Linked DNA regions of Arabidopsis thaliana. The protein of the gene in region 1 interacts with the protein of each later gene in a pairwise test. Each region holds a gene or a part of one and is shown in the gene's direction. Other genes may lie near its edges.

Region 1 (3,009 bases):
AAGAATTTTCGTTATCCGATTTCCAAATACAAGAAATTCATCAAACTTACACAAACAAAGTAACTAAAGCAATGCATTTAATATTGTTATTAAAGGTTCAGTAGCTGTAGTAGTATGTGCGAGATGAGTCACTTGATACAATTCAATTCATACTGAATAATGTTGGTGGTTGAAATAGAACAGTCTCTTCTGTTTGATGTTTCCGATCTTTTGTTTATTAGTACAAAAACAAAAAAAAAAATACTTCGTTTGCTATGTATATCAAAATCCTTAAATAATTTATTTTCTTACGCATAGATTATGGATGGATCATATTTTTCTGATAGGAGGAAAGTTCACAATTTTGAATTTTCACAACTGTTAGCTGAATGCAAAATACAGGTGAAATGTTCGCCGGTAAACTTTTTATCTGAAACTAGTTAAAACTAACAGACTCGGTAAGCATAAAAGTGATTAGCATATCATTGACAACCAATAATGGATGATGGCGCAAAGACATCCAAGTTAATCATAATCTATGTTCACATTATTATAGAGATTACTATTATTATTTTGGACAAATCTATGTTCATATTATTATTTATGCAAAAAGAGGGTGGATTAGGTTTAACTGTTGTGGAGCCCTAAAAATTAATTAAGAATCCAAAAAATCAAGTTGCTTCAAATCATTTCCCACCAGGAGAGGCCTACCAGGAATACAACTTGATTGAGCTGTCTTTCCTCTTTTAAAATTTATCCATTAGGAAGCTTTTCATATAATTTTTTTTTTTTTTTTGGGTATGAAAATAGAAAAGTCTTTTGAGATTAGTATCCAAAAAAAACAACGATTATTTAATCGGACGTTGTTTGATCAGAAATGGTTTACGAGAAAGTCGGCATATTATTCGATTTTTCATTATTTTCTCGATACATTTTTTTCATTCGAGTCTAATTCACGTATGTTAAAAAGTTATTTGATGTACAAATAATCCAGATTATTCGACCTAGTCGTATCAGAGTTTCGAGATAAAGTTGTAAAGTTGGTTAGAAATCCTTATGATATCAATAGATCAAATAACCCTAGTTAAAGCATCAAAAAATCAAATCCACCTACGTAAATGCTTAGAGTTACACTCAAATTTTGATTTTTTAATGACATCTCTTCATATGCAGAGATTGTTTTTATGTGGAAACACATAGACTAAATGGCTTATCTTTAAATAGAAAGTAAAAGAGTGGAAGTGAAAGAAAGAAAGAAAAAAAAAAACCAATTTATTTGTCATTTATTATTCTACAGAATGGCAGAATGACTATGTAAAAATTTGATTCTGTGAAATTTCGTCATTATGCATAATACCAATAATTATAAATAGCGAATAAAAACAAAAACAATAATGGGATGTTTAGCAAAAAAGAAATAAAAAAGCAGTGCCGTTGAGAATCAAATGGTTTTTAGTAGTCAGCATCAAAGGTAAAAGACAAGTTGAGCATAAATCATATGAGAAGATTCATCGTTAGAACCAAAATGTAAAAAAGAAAGAAAAAAGCTTAGCTTTTGATTACAGTTTTGTGCAGTGTGAAGTGTCACATCACACAACAACTTGGGTGAAGGAAGGTCCTTTCAAAAAGTTGGACGTTGTCTTCATAAATTTGTATTAATTGATCACAGACTCATGACCCCATCTCTAAAACCACTAAGAGAGCGACAAAACCATAGCTTTTTTTTTGTGTCCCTACCCCATCCATGGCTGCTAAAATCTTGTGATTACCTTCTTGTCTCCTTCCTCTTCTCTTTCCCTCTTTTATATAAGAACCAAAACATCCACAGCTTTTGTTCCATCATCACTTGCAGATTCTTTCTCTCTTTCGTAAAAATGGCGAGTTTTGAGGAAAGCTCTGATTTGGAAGCTATACAGAGCCATCTCTTAGAAGACTTGTTGGTTTGTGATGGTTTCATGGGAGATTTTGACTTCGATGCTTCTTTTGTCTCAGGACTTTGGTGTATAGAACCACACGTTCCTAAACAAGAACCTGATTCTCCAGTTCTTGATCCGGATTCTTTCGTCAACGAGTTCTTGCAAGTGGAAGGGGAATCATCATCATCATCATCACCAGAGCTGAATTCATCGTCATCAACATATGAGACTGATCAGAGTGTGAAAAAGGCAGAGAGGTTCGAAGAAGAAGTAGATGCTAGACATTACCGAGGAGTGAGGCGAAGGCCGTGGGGGAAATTTGCAGCAGAGATTCGAGATCCAGCAAAGAAAGGATCAAGAATCTGGCTAGGAACATTTGAGAGTGATGTTGATGCTGCAAGAGCCTATGACTGTGCAGCTTTCAAGCTCCGGGGAAGAAAAGCCGTGCTCAACTTCCCTCTTGACGCCGGGAAATATGAAGCTCCAGCGAATTCAGGAAGGAAAAGGAAGAGAAGTGATGTGCATGAAGAGCTTCAAAGAACTCAGAGCAATTCATCTTCATCTTCCTGTGATGCATTTTAGCATATTAAGAGTGTGAGCAGTTTCCTTAAGTTGTATAAAGTAATTGTACAGAGGAAACGAATTGTGTAGGTTTAGTGTGCTTGCAAGTTGCAACAAATGTGTATGGATGTTCTGTTTCTTCATGTCCCTAAGATTTAGAAACATCTTCTTATTTCCAAGAAAGTTATTCAGTTTCCAGGTCTCTAAACAACCTAACTAGTTATTAGATGTTGTAATCCATTAGTCAATGGTTTATGAAACAATCAAGTTCTCAATCTCACACATAGAAACTTCACTAAAACAGCTACAAAAAGTGAGTGTACCAAGAGGAGAAGGGGAAGTGAATCAAGATGAGCAAGTTACATGAATGTAGCAGGCTAGCAGCAATGTTTGTCTTCATAGGTTAGGTACAAGTCAACACTCAGTGATAAAGGAACTGGACCACAAGCTACAGAGACTTGAAAGAGAGATGCACAACTTGCAAATGCAGAATAAACAAGTCAACACTCAGTGATAAAGGAACTGGACCACAAGCTACAGAGACTTGAAAGAG
Region 2 (6,850 bases), about 12 Mb from region 1:
ATAACTCATCCACAACATAAAACAAACCTAGCCACATATGCATTGATAAATCATAAATCAGTCATAAAACATACAGTAACCAAGCCACAACACAAAACAAACTCAACCACATATGCATTAATAAATCATAAATCAGTCCTAAAGCATACAATAACTCAGCCATCAAATCGAATAGAAATAACAAATCAGCCACCATATGTAAATCGACGGCAAAAATCAGCCGTAATAAGCGTCGATAAAAACCATCAATATCATAACAGTGGTTTTAGAAAATGGTTTTAATCATGGGAATCACTTGCTATTGAACTTAGATGTCTGATTATTGTCGGAAAAATCGAAATAAAGATTTGACACATATCGAAACAAGTTGAGTTGAGACGAAATGTGACTCGATGACAACGACGTTAAAAGTTTCGGGCGGAAGAGACGAGAGAAAGAGAGAATAGCCACGAGAAATAGGTTTTCTTCGTTTTCGGATAAACACCTAGTAAAAGAGAAGACATTTTTTTTTCCCAAGATGAACAATGTCTGGGAGGAAAACCAAAATGTTCCTCTTAGTGACGTTAATAATGTGGCTTTATTTTTTTTTCTCTCTTAATAACGTGATTCATCATTATTTCGTTAATTATTTTTAATTAAAAAAGAATAAAAATGTTTTAACTAAAAAATACTAATCAAAAATGTTAATTGTAATTATATAAAAGCACTATATATATGAATAATTTTCAGAAAATGTAAATATTTCTATATTTAGATTGAGGAATAAACTTAAAAGCATCGCATGCTCATGTGTTGGTTTGTGATGAGTTTGGACTAAAGTTCACGATGAACCGTGGTTTTGAGGATCGTGATAGCTGCAATATGAGAAAAAGTAGGGTTAAGTTTTGTGATGACAGAATATGGCGAATTCTAGGTTTGAGGATTGTAATGATAAGAATATGCTTAACCAGATTTCCAAAAATTATTTACTTATAATGACAATAGTATGTTGGGAAAAAAAAATATGTTAAACTATGCTTTAAAAGTTTTTACTACTGGTATGAAAGTCGAGATTTGGTGCTACGAGTTTGATCTCTCTGACAAATTTTTTGCGTATACATATTATTTTATTTCTCATTTTTAAAATGGATCGATCTACAAATATTTGTGTTTAGCCAATAGTTTACCATATACAAAAAATTTACTAATGTTCGCGGAAGGAAATAAACTTAGCAAATATATTGTTGAATTCTTAATGATATATAACACTATTTTAAATATAAAAAATCGTCAAAATATAAATCTAGTGATTTATAATAATATAGCTGTTATATTGCCATTATAATTCAAAATCTGCATATCAAAAGAAAGAAATTTTGAAATATGTCACCATACTGAACCAATACTTTTCCTAAAAAATATAAAATTGAAGCTATTTCACAAACAAATCTGCATCTATTAAGAATAAACAAAAACAAATAATAACAAATCTTGACAAAAGAAAATAAAAATAGGAAAAAAACATACCTTCACAACCTGGGTCCCCCACCTCGGAGAAGTATGTCTTTATCTACACTTTTTGTCCTTTGTTTCCTCTCTCCCCCACCATTCTTTCTCCTCTCTCCGCTTCTTCTTCTTCCCCTGTTCCTCTTATAACCCCTCTCGTCTCATGTCTACCTCCTCCTCTTCTTCCGACAACGGAGCCGGTGGAAGCGGCGGCGTTTTCGAGGCCCCATCTCCATCCCGCCCTCGCCGCGGAGCCAACGATGTTTGGCCGGAGCCTTTTCTTGAATCTCTCGCCGTTCAAGTTGCCGTTAACGCTTCCACATCCGCCGGCCTCCTCGCCGCAGCTCCGGCTCTTGCCAACGTTTTTCGGGTCAGTTCTAACGTTCTTTGAATACCTTCTTTTAGTTTTGTAACGGTCGAGACACATCAATTATCTCGTGTCTCTCTATATATATATGTACTTCAGGTAGTAAAGTAATATTTTCGTTACACTATCTGAATTCGTTTATTAGCTTATATTTGAACTTGAAAATAGTGAGACATAGATCTTATGCAGACAAAACAAAGTCAAAGTAGTCGTGGGTCTATAATAACTTAAGTGGAGGGACACAATCTTGGTCTAGTCAAATGTACTGCTTGTTTCAAGTGTCTTGTACTTTAGTTGTTTCTAAGCTTAGATTTGATTCTGCCGTTCTAATTCTTTTTGGTATAACGAATTCTTACTCTTTAGATCATAATTAAGTGATGATGTTACTTCAATTCGATTGAATGTGATATTAGTTTGTAAGGTTGGGATTCTGAAGAGACAAAAAAAAAAAAAAACTGACCTTTGGAAAGGTAACCGCCCTTTCTGTGTTTCTATGATGGGTCCAAGTCCAACTTTTATGTCTAACAAGACGACATTAATTTGATGTCTCTTTCACATATCATATAGTTTGGGGACTTTGTTTTTCTTTTATGTATTTAGAAACTTTTTGTCTTCCATTTTTACCCAATAAGTTTATTTCTTTTTCATTGTTCTCTCGTCTACTTTTGATACCTTTTAATGTCTATTTTTGGATCCTCTAAGGAGACCATACAACCCCATCTCGTTTGTGTAATCTTTGTACAACATTTGGGCATAGTAACTCTAATATTAATATTATATTATGAATTGGATCCCTTAGGGCACAAAATCAAGGTTTTATTTTATTTTATTGGCTTTAAATCTTCCTTTCTTGGCATGTAGAAAGCCCTTTTTTAAGATCAAGAAATCCACTTTTTGACTCAAAAGTTCTTACAATAATAATCAAATTAAACACTTTCTTGTCTCCAAATATTGGTTGATAGACATTAGGCACAGTCTTTAGTCCAATGCCCAATAGATTTAATATTTTTTAGAATTATAATTATAACGGTATTTATCTGCTAATTGTTTTAAAATTATAATAATAGAAAGTGACCTCTCACGACAGACTCATAAAACTAGAAAATGTCGTTGCACATTTAACAACATCTAAAAAGAGAATGAAAAGAAACCTAAGTAAGGTCCTGTCTTTTTGCCTTGCCAATGTTAGTCCTATATTACCACATTAGGTTATTTTCTACATACATGAAAACTCTATTCATCAACAGATATATGATCCATGTATTATATCAGGCATTCATATTATTCTTTTTAATAATCCTATGTTATATATGAAAATAGCTGTTTTTTCTTTTGTTCATAAAAAAACAAATAATACATATATATATTATGCTGAAGATTTTTCTCATATATAGTAACGAGGAATAGTATATAAGTACATATGTACATTTTTTGCGTCCTGCTTTTGTTATTTTTTTCTCTGCCAATATTATGATCCACTGAGTAATGCATGCAGAGCTTCTGACAACTTCTCATTCTCTTATTTTATCTCACTTCTCTATGTATACATGATAATTCTAAATCATTATTAAATCCCATAATATTTTCTAATTAATTGAATTTTCAAATTTGCCCTAAAATTTTAAGAAACTGCAGTGTAGTTACAGCATAACACTTTTGTCAGAGAATTAAGGCTATAAGTCTAGAGTTTTCATTGTTGTTTTTTACTTTGAAATTGATCATGGAATTATCTTTTTTCCTGACTCGATTCATCTTTTCCATTGAAGTGGGTTTTTATCTTTTTTTTTTCTTTCCTTAATTTTTTTCAGTCAAAAGAGACGACATTATGGGCATACATATGCCGAAAAGCACATGGAACCCAATGTTAAGGGTCTCTTAGAGCACGTGCAGTGGTGTCTATAGATTATATACTATGTTCTTACATTTGATATATCACACATTAAAATACAAAAGTGATATTCTGAATCTGGTCATCTTAGAACTCAGGAATATTTGAACTACTTTCTTTCCCTTCTTATTTGAAGTATATCATATTGATGTGATTGGTAATTTGCATAATAATAAATAGGATTTGCCATTCCATCATATGTTATTTGTTGTACTAATCTATTTTATGTTACATTTCGTGCCCTAGTGCCTAGATTATTCTTTTTTTATAATGATTATCTGACTAATAGACATTAAACCTTTGGTTTGACAAGATATCTTTTCTTTTCGTATAGAATTCGAAATATTTGATTTTAGGTTGTACTATAGAGCTAGAGTACGAAGTCAAATACATTACTTTGCGTTTAATGAGGAATAAAGATGTACAATAAATAACAATATAAACGTAAATGTAGAGAATGTAGGTCCACGGATTGTTGGAGAGGGATGAGAGAGACAGAGAAACATCTACTATATATAAGTGTAATATTTGTGTATTTATGGGAAGCTCTACTTTTAACAAGACCAAAGGCTTAAAAGCTATCCTTTCTTGGAAATGAAAGAGAGAAGGGCACGCTTGTTGGCAAAGTCGGAATCTCATGTTCAGCTTAACTCATTTAAAGTCTTCTCATCTGTCCTAATAAATTAACATATCATCTGTTTTGTATTATTGTCACATTGATTTGTTTTTTGTTCTTTTGACATGGGACTAGGGCTTCCTCTCATTATTCCTTTTACACTAGGGCTTCTGTTGTTATATCTCTATCTATAGCTTCCAGAGATTGATTAGTCCCGTCAATTGAACATATGTCATAAAATAGATTTTTATAAAAATGAGTTGTGTGTTTCGATGAGTAAGACAAATATTACGCAGAGCTTGTGTCTGAGTCTGTCGTTGTCTTTCCATCTTCCTAGTCCCTATATATAGAGTCTTTCATGCTTCGTTGCAGGCCTACTTATCTTCTTTCTATGTCTTTTTTTACTCTCTCCCTTATTTATACATTTATTAATTAAGCTACTAATTATAATATTTGTTAAAACTTATAATAATTTTTCTTAATCGCAGGTTTGCACCACGTGGCACGCTGTCTCTCGCTCCGACCATCTATGGCAACTACTATCTCGCCAAGTTTGGGCAAGAACACATTTGATGCACGACACGTGGCGGGACGAGTTCATCTACCGTCATCGGACGGCTAGAAACTTCCGGACGCGTACTCACACCTACTTCACTCTCCAATTTGACCCGTCTGATGTGGACGAGCCTGATAGTCTCTCTTGCCGTTGTCTCACCCTCTCAGACCTCTACTTAGCCGCAGGGTTCGCCGACGGAACCGTCCGGCTTTTTCTTTTAAACAACCGACTCCACGTCAGGACCTTACGGCCACCTCTACGTGACCGCTTTGGTAGATTCTCACGAGCCGTCTCAGGCATTGTTATCTCCGACTCAAGGCTCACGTTCGCTACGATGGACGGAGACATCCACGTGGCGGAAATAGACGGTGTTGGTCACACACGCACGGCTTACGCAGGAGATATAGTTAACGACGGTGCGTTGGTAGATTTCACTGGCTGTGGACGTTGGTGGGTCGGTCTTTTCGCGGGTGTGCCAGGTCGTGCCTTTCACATATGGGACTGTAACAGCGAAGAGACAACATTCGTCGGTGGTACACTCACCGACCCTGAAGCTGTCATGGGATGGCACACGTTAACAGAGCTAACAACGTCCCTTGGCCGTCTCAGAATCTCCGGTAACGAGACGGCGGTAGCATGCACGAGATGGAGAATCATGGTGATCGATCTAAGAAACCAAGGAGTGATCATCGGAGAAGACGAAGAGCAACGTAGAGGACTAATAGTGACAGGCTTCGATGCCAACGACGAAGCGTACGTTAGATTGGACAGTAGAGGAAACGCTAGCGTGCGAAGGGTGAACACGCAACAAACGGTGTGTGAGTTCCGTGTTAGTGGAGCGGCGCAGAGAAGAGTAATGGGTTGTGTTAATAGACTGCACGCGCTAATGTGCGCAGGTGGTATAATGCGCGTGTGGGAGGTAGAGAGAGGAGAGTATCTGTACAGTATTAGGGAGAGAGTAGGAGAAGTTGACGCCATTGTTGCCGATGATAGACATGTGGCGGTTGCGTCAGCTTCATCAACGGCTCAGAGTATTATACATCTATGGGATTTCGGTGCACTGTAGCGTACCAGATTAATAATTTTTTTTTTTTAACTTGAAGAAAAAGAAACTATTTTTCTCTGAAAAAGCGAAACCCTAAACCTAGGTGTATATGTAGGGTTTCTGATTATAAATTAAATTGGGAAAGTGACGGAGGGAAGATGGTGACAGGAGGGTGAGATTTACAAGGGAGATTGATTCTTTCTACAGAGTTTGACCAAAAAAGTAAGTTACTGTTTTTGTCTAAAACCAAACAAAGTGGACTTTTTCTTGTTGTTCTTGTTTTTTTCCTTGTGTTTAGGGCTCTCTCAATTCTGACTTTGTACGAGATGTCTTTTTTTTTTCTTCTACTTGTAATTCTTCACTTTACTGGAGTTTATTATTTTGTATAATGGGTTTTAAATACATTTTGTGTAAAAAATATATTTTACAGGAGGTGTAGACAGAAACAAGATCAAAATCGAAAGAATGGTATAGAAATATGAATCATGAGATCTAGATGTGATTTGAGCATATCCCAATTTTAGGATATATTGGAGTGAATTGATAAGTAAAATGTTCAACAAGTTATTCATAAACAATAACATAAGAAAAGAGCATAATTGGACACACCCAATATACAAACAAAACGGCTAATCTCATTGAACAAACAAGATGATAAAGAGTGAAAATCAAAATTTTCCAAGTTTGAAATAGCGTTAGAAGCAAGTTCGAGAAGACCAAACACACGCCAATTCAAGAAAAAGTTGCACTCTACATAAAATTTGAGATGGTAACCATATATTGTGACTTTAAATCATAGTTCAAAACTTGGATTCTCACAAGAATGAGTCACGTTGTACCTACCGGTCCCTAAAAAACCATCACATAAGAACACAAACAGTTAGGATCTAAAA
Region 3 (4,460 bases), on another chromosome or scaffold:
AGACAAAACTGTATAGTCATGACTCATGAATCTGGGTTACGTCAATTAGTTTTGCATCTGATTTTCTCGTTGATTGTAATATATTTATTGAGACCGATTTTTGTATACAAGCAAGGAAGATTTAACAATAGCTATCCATGATTTTTTTTTTCTTGGGGGTCAGATATACCATTTGAATGTAGTTCACTATTGACTTTTGACTTAAAATTTTGTCGATTTTGGTCTTATCAAATACCAAATGACGCTATATACTAATTAACATCAAATTGCGCCGCTAAATCACGCGGTTCCATGTGATCAAAGTCCCTGGAGTGGATTTGCTTGTTTGGTCTCACTCTCACGCCAATTAAAAGGTGTCTGTTTAACCTTTTCTCCTTTAGTTTATAGACTATGATATGGTCAGGAATTACTTAACTATACCACGGATTTATAAGAGGTATCTCAATAAAAGATCTAATGAATTTTGAATCAGATACAAATATATGATTTTTATAATTATAAAACCTTTAAACTATCTCATGGAGTAGTTTGGTTGGAAAACGAAATGGATCCTATCCATCCGTTAGTTGATAATTATTACTCGTGACCTAAAACTTAGACTATATAGGGTTTGCTGTCAAGCAAGTATTCATTAAAAATTGCACATTTATATAATTACTTTGTTTAACCGCATATTCACAGCACTTGTTAAAGTTTCAATTATGAAACTCAGCTATAGTCTTATACTGTTATTATGTTCACATTAATCTCATGAACGGCAATATAGAGACTGTTGGATAAGGTTTGAAATAACTTAATTCTCATACAACAGCACAATATATAATTGTTTACGATCCAATTTAGTGATTTGCAAAATAATGAAAGAAAACATGTGAAAGTAATAGTAACTGATAACTTTCCAAAATGATCTAATTATTTCAAATCTTTGTAAGATTTTATTTCAGCCAAATAGTATTTTTGTGGTGTCTTATCTTTGATTAAGCCAAATGAAGCAATTGCCGACAAAAATAAAAGATGCTAAAGACGTAATTAAATATTAAAATATTACCGCACGAGGGACCTTTTGAAAAATCAACATTCCATCACATAGGTAAAATTATGTCAAATGACCGTCTAGCTAATCACACCATCTGATTAAGCGGCAACATTTTTTAAGTAGTTCTAAATCTAACCAGTGTTTTGATTTCGGAGTGATCCGGCCGGTCGGACCTTTAAACATGCGACTTGAATACGACTAAACTATAGTTCGTTTGGTAAGCGATTTTTCTTTCACCCACTAGAACTAAACATGCAAAAACTTCGGCAAAAACTAGTGATCCGGTAAAATCCACACAAGGGCGGTCTTTAACACGCCAAATCACAATTTTTTTTTTATCCTGGTAACCTCTGATTCTTTTTTTTTTTTTCTTTCTAATTTTGATGACGTGATTGATATATTTATTTGATAAATTTGACTCTCTAAAATAATTTAATTTCTGCTAAGACATACAAGAACTAATAAAATCACACACATATATATATATATATATATAGAACGTATTATATGATAAATTTTGATTTTCTTGGAGAATTCTCATGCTGATTTTTTTTAATAACTTTAGGAATAATTAATTAGTTTCAAATCACTCTAGAAGACATTTACTTAATCATAGCCTCTGATGATAATAGTTCCGAAACAAGAAAACAAAACATACAATATATATTATTTATTTTATTTTTAATTTTATAATAGATATCAAAATTGGTGATATTTATTGTGATGGGGATTCATTGAAACTGGAAGACAACTGTAGAGAAAGTGCCCCATAGAAGAAGATCTTCATAGTACTCTCCATCTCTTTACTCTCCTTCTCTTTCTCTCTCTCTATCTCTCTATTTCTCTCTCTCTCTCTCTCTCACCCACAGAGAAAACCAGCAGTAGTAGCAGTAAATTGCTTGAGTTCTTGATGACAGATCGACAATGTCTTAAATGATGAAGAGAAAAGAAGGAAAGCAATAAACCTTGGCGGCGTTTGCAGCAGTTTCTTAAATTTCCTCACCATCATTACTCTCTCATCTGCTCCCAAATCTGCTCCTTTTAAATACCAAACACATCTCCAAGCCTAGCTAGAAATTAATGTGATAGAGAGCAAAAGAAAAAGGTGAACACAAATCCCCAAAAATAATTCATCCACAAACCCCAAAAAAGTCTCATAAATCCTCTTTCTTTCTTTTTGTTTGTGTTTTGTGTTGGGGAAGTAGAAAAAAATGGCTGGATTGTTCTATCTAGGAGGGAGAGATCACAACAAACAAGATCATCATCAAGAAAAGGATCATAATGAAGACAAGAGCAACAATTATCTCTATCTATACAAAGACGAGATCTACAACAACAACAAGGGTTTTGAGATTTTCCCTCCTCAATATTTTCAACAACAACAGCAACAAAATCATGCGGCTGCTCCAACAAATCTCTACTCTTTTGGTATGGTCCCGAGTGGTGGTAACATAAACAATAACCGGAGTACTAATCGGAGTTTGTACTTCAACGTCGTCTCCGATCATGAGCCGGTGAGATCCTCAACGGGAGGGTTTACGGTAACGAGACAAGGGAACATGAATTGCCAAGACTGTGGGAATCAAGCCAAGAAAGATTGTCCTCATATGAGATGTCGTACTTGTTGTAAGAGCCGAGGGTTTGATTGCCAAACACACGTGAAGAGCACGTGGGTCTCGGCTGCTAAACGCCGTGAGAGACAGGCTCAGTTAGCTGTTTTGCCAGCTAAGCGTATAAGAGACGCTAACTCAAGGGGTGGTGGGGATGACGATGATGATGACAAAGAGGACGAGAAAAATGACAGTTGTGGTGGTGGCTCGGCTCTTGCTTGCACCCGTGTGGTTAATGCTAGTTCTTCAGGTATGACGATGAGTTTTCAATTAATTAACATAGAGAAAAAATTTCAACAAATCTAGAAAGGATTTAAAAACAAATTTATGTGAAGATCTGGTTATGAATGTTTTGTCAAGAAAGCAACAATATGATTTGATTGTGAATATATGTCCACCGGATTTTGCTCCTTTCTTTTTGCTGTTTGATTTTGATTGTGAATAAATGTCCAACAAAATGATTTTAGTCACTGTTCTATGGTAAACCTGACGACACAAAGGGTTTAGTCGATTTTTATTCAATATATGATGTAAAAAATAAACAATGGTTAATTATGTCATGTGTTTTAAAGATTTTGATTATTGGATTCACGAACCAAAACGTTTTTGAATTTTATAGTAATTCTTTGGTTTTATGAAATTAGGGTTAGAGACTAGTCACTTACCACCGGAGATAAGTTCCCCGGCTGTTTTCCGGTGTATGAGAGTCAGCTCAATCGACGATGAAGACGAAGAGTATGCTTATCAAACGGCTGTTAGCATTGGAGGACACGTGTTCAAAGGCATTCTCTACGACCAAGGTCCATCGTCAGATCACCACCGTTACAGCTCAAGCCTCAATGGCGAAACCTCTCATCAACACCATCTTAACCTCATGGACTCAACTCCTTCAGCCGCAACTACAAACGCCGTGACCGCCGTTAACACTAACAACGGATCTATTGACCCTTCTTCCCTTTACACTGCGGTGGCAACTCCGTTCAACGCCTTTGTCGCCGGTGGTACGCCTTTCTTTGCATCTTCTAGGTGTTGAGATTAAAACATCTGAAGATGTTAAATCTTTTAAATTACGTTTGTGATTAATTATAACTACTCTTATAACTACCAGAGATCTATCTACGAGTACGAGAGATAATTTATTTGAGTATTTTTATTGTTGTCGGACAATATGGTGACTGTTCGTACCTAGCTAGGGTTTGTGTACTGATTAACATGCACATCGTACGTTTTAGAGATAAATGAGATATTATCATTAAGTTTTTTTTGGGGATAAACGAGATATTAAATTAATGTCAGAGTTTCAAATTTTGATCTTCTGTTTGTTTACTTTAATGTTTGATCTTCCCAATGTGATCAACATAACTTCTTTTTTTTTTTTTTTCTTTCGAATATGTCTGAATTATTTTCAAAAAGTTTGGTCTTCTATATAAAATAGGGTTTAAAAAATATATTCTAATTTTCTTCTGTATACAAATAGGGTTGGGTTTGATAGTGAATTAGCTTTCTGGCTGGTGATGAACTCGAAGCTACTTTTTCCCAGTTTATCCGTTTGCTTGCCGGATCTAAACAGGAACTTTACTAGGTTTCGTGTTCCATTGAGCAAACAATTTCAAATCTATTTATATATAAGAGAAAAACTTTCTGTTACCCAATCCAATTTCCGCAGTAAAACAGTGGAAACCATCATCATAGTTTACGAATAATTTGTTATGTTTACATTTATGTAATATTAAAAAAAATATTTGTTACCGATATTTTTCTTAACAAGAGAGTAGGTTACTCCCAAATTTCATCACAAAAAGACCTTCAACGCT

The links.
Region 2: the proteins of AT5G07580 (region 1) and SAP interact in a two-hybrid assay, tested with the Arabidopsis thaliana proteins (one large-scale study listed by BioGRID).
Region 3: the proteins of AT5G07580 (region 1) and SRS7 interact in a two-hybrid assay, tested with the Arabidopsis thaliana proteins (one large-scale study listed by BioGRID).

Annotation. Positions count from the first base shown.
Region 1 is NC_003076.8:2,397,873-2,400,881, forward strand, and holds AT5G07580 (ethylene-responsive transcription factor), read left to right. Parts: upstream 1-1,853; coding exon 1,854-2,477; downstream 2,478-3,009.
Region 2 is NC_003076.8:13,935,585-13,942,434, reverse strand, and holds SAP (Transducin/WD40 repeat-like superfamily protein), read left to right. Parts: upstream 1-1,567; 5' UTR 1,568-1,648; coding exon 1,649-1,855; intron 1,856-4,844; coding exon 4,845-5,978; 3' UTR 5,979-6,349; downstream 6,350-6,850. UniProt on the Arabidopsis thaliana protein: Transcriptional regulator involved in the specification of floral identity. Acts as A class cadastral protein by repressing the C class floral homeotic gene AGAMOUS in the external flower organs in association with APETALA2 and other repressors.
Region 3 is NC_003070.9:6,837,619-6,842,078, reverse strand, and holds SRS7 (SHI-related sequence 7), read left to right. Parts: upstream 1-1,765; 5' UTR 1,766-2,247; coding exon 2,248-2,896; intron 2,897-3,290; coding exon 3,291-3,679; 3' UTR 3,680-3,959; downstream 3,960-4,460. UniProt on the Arabidopsis thaliana protein: Transcription activator that binds DNA on 5'-ACTCTAC-3' and promotes auxin homeostasis-regulating gene expression (e.g. YUC genes), as well as genes affecting stamen development, cell expansion and timing of flowering.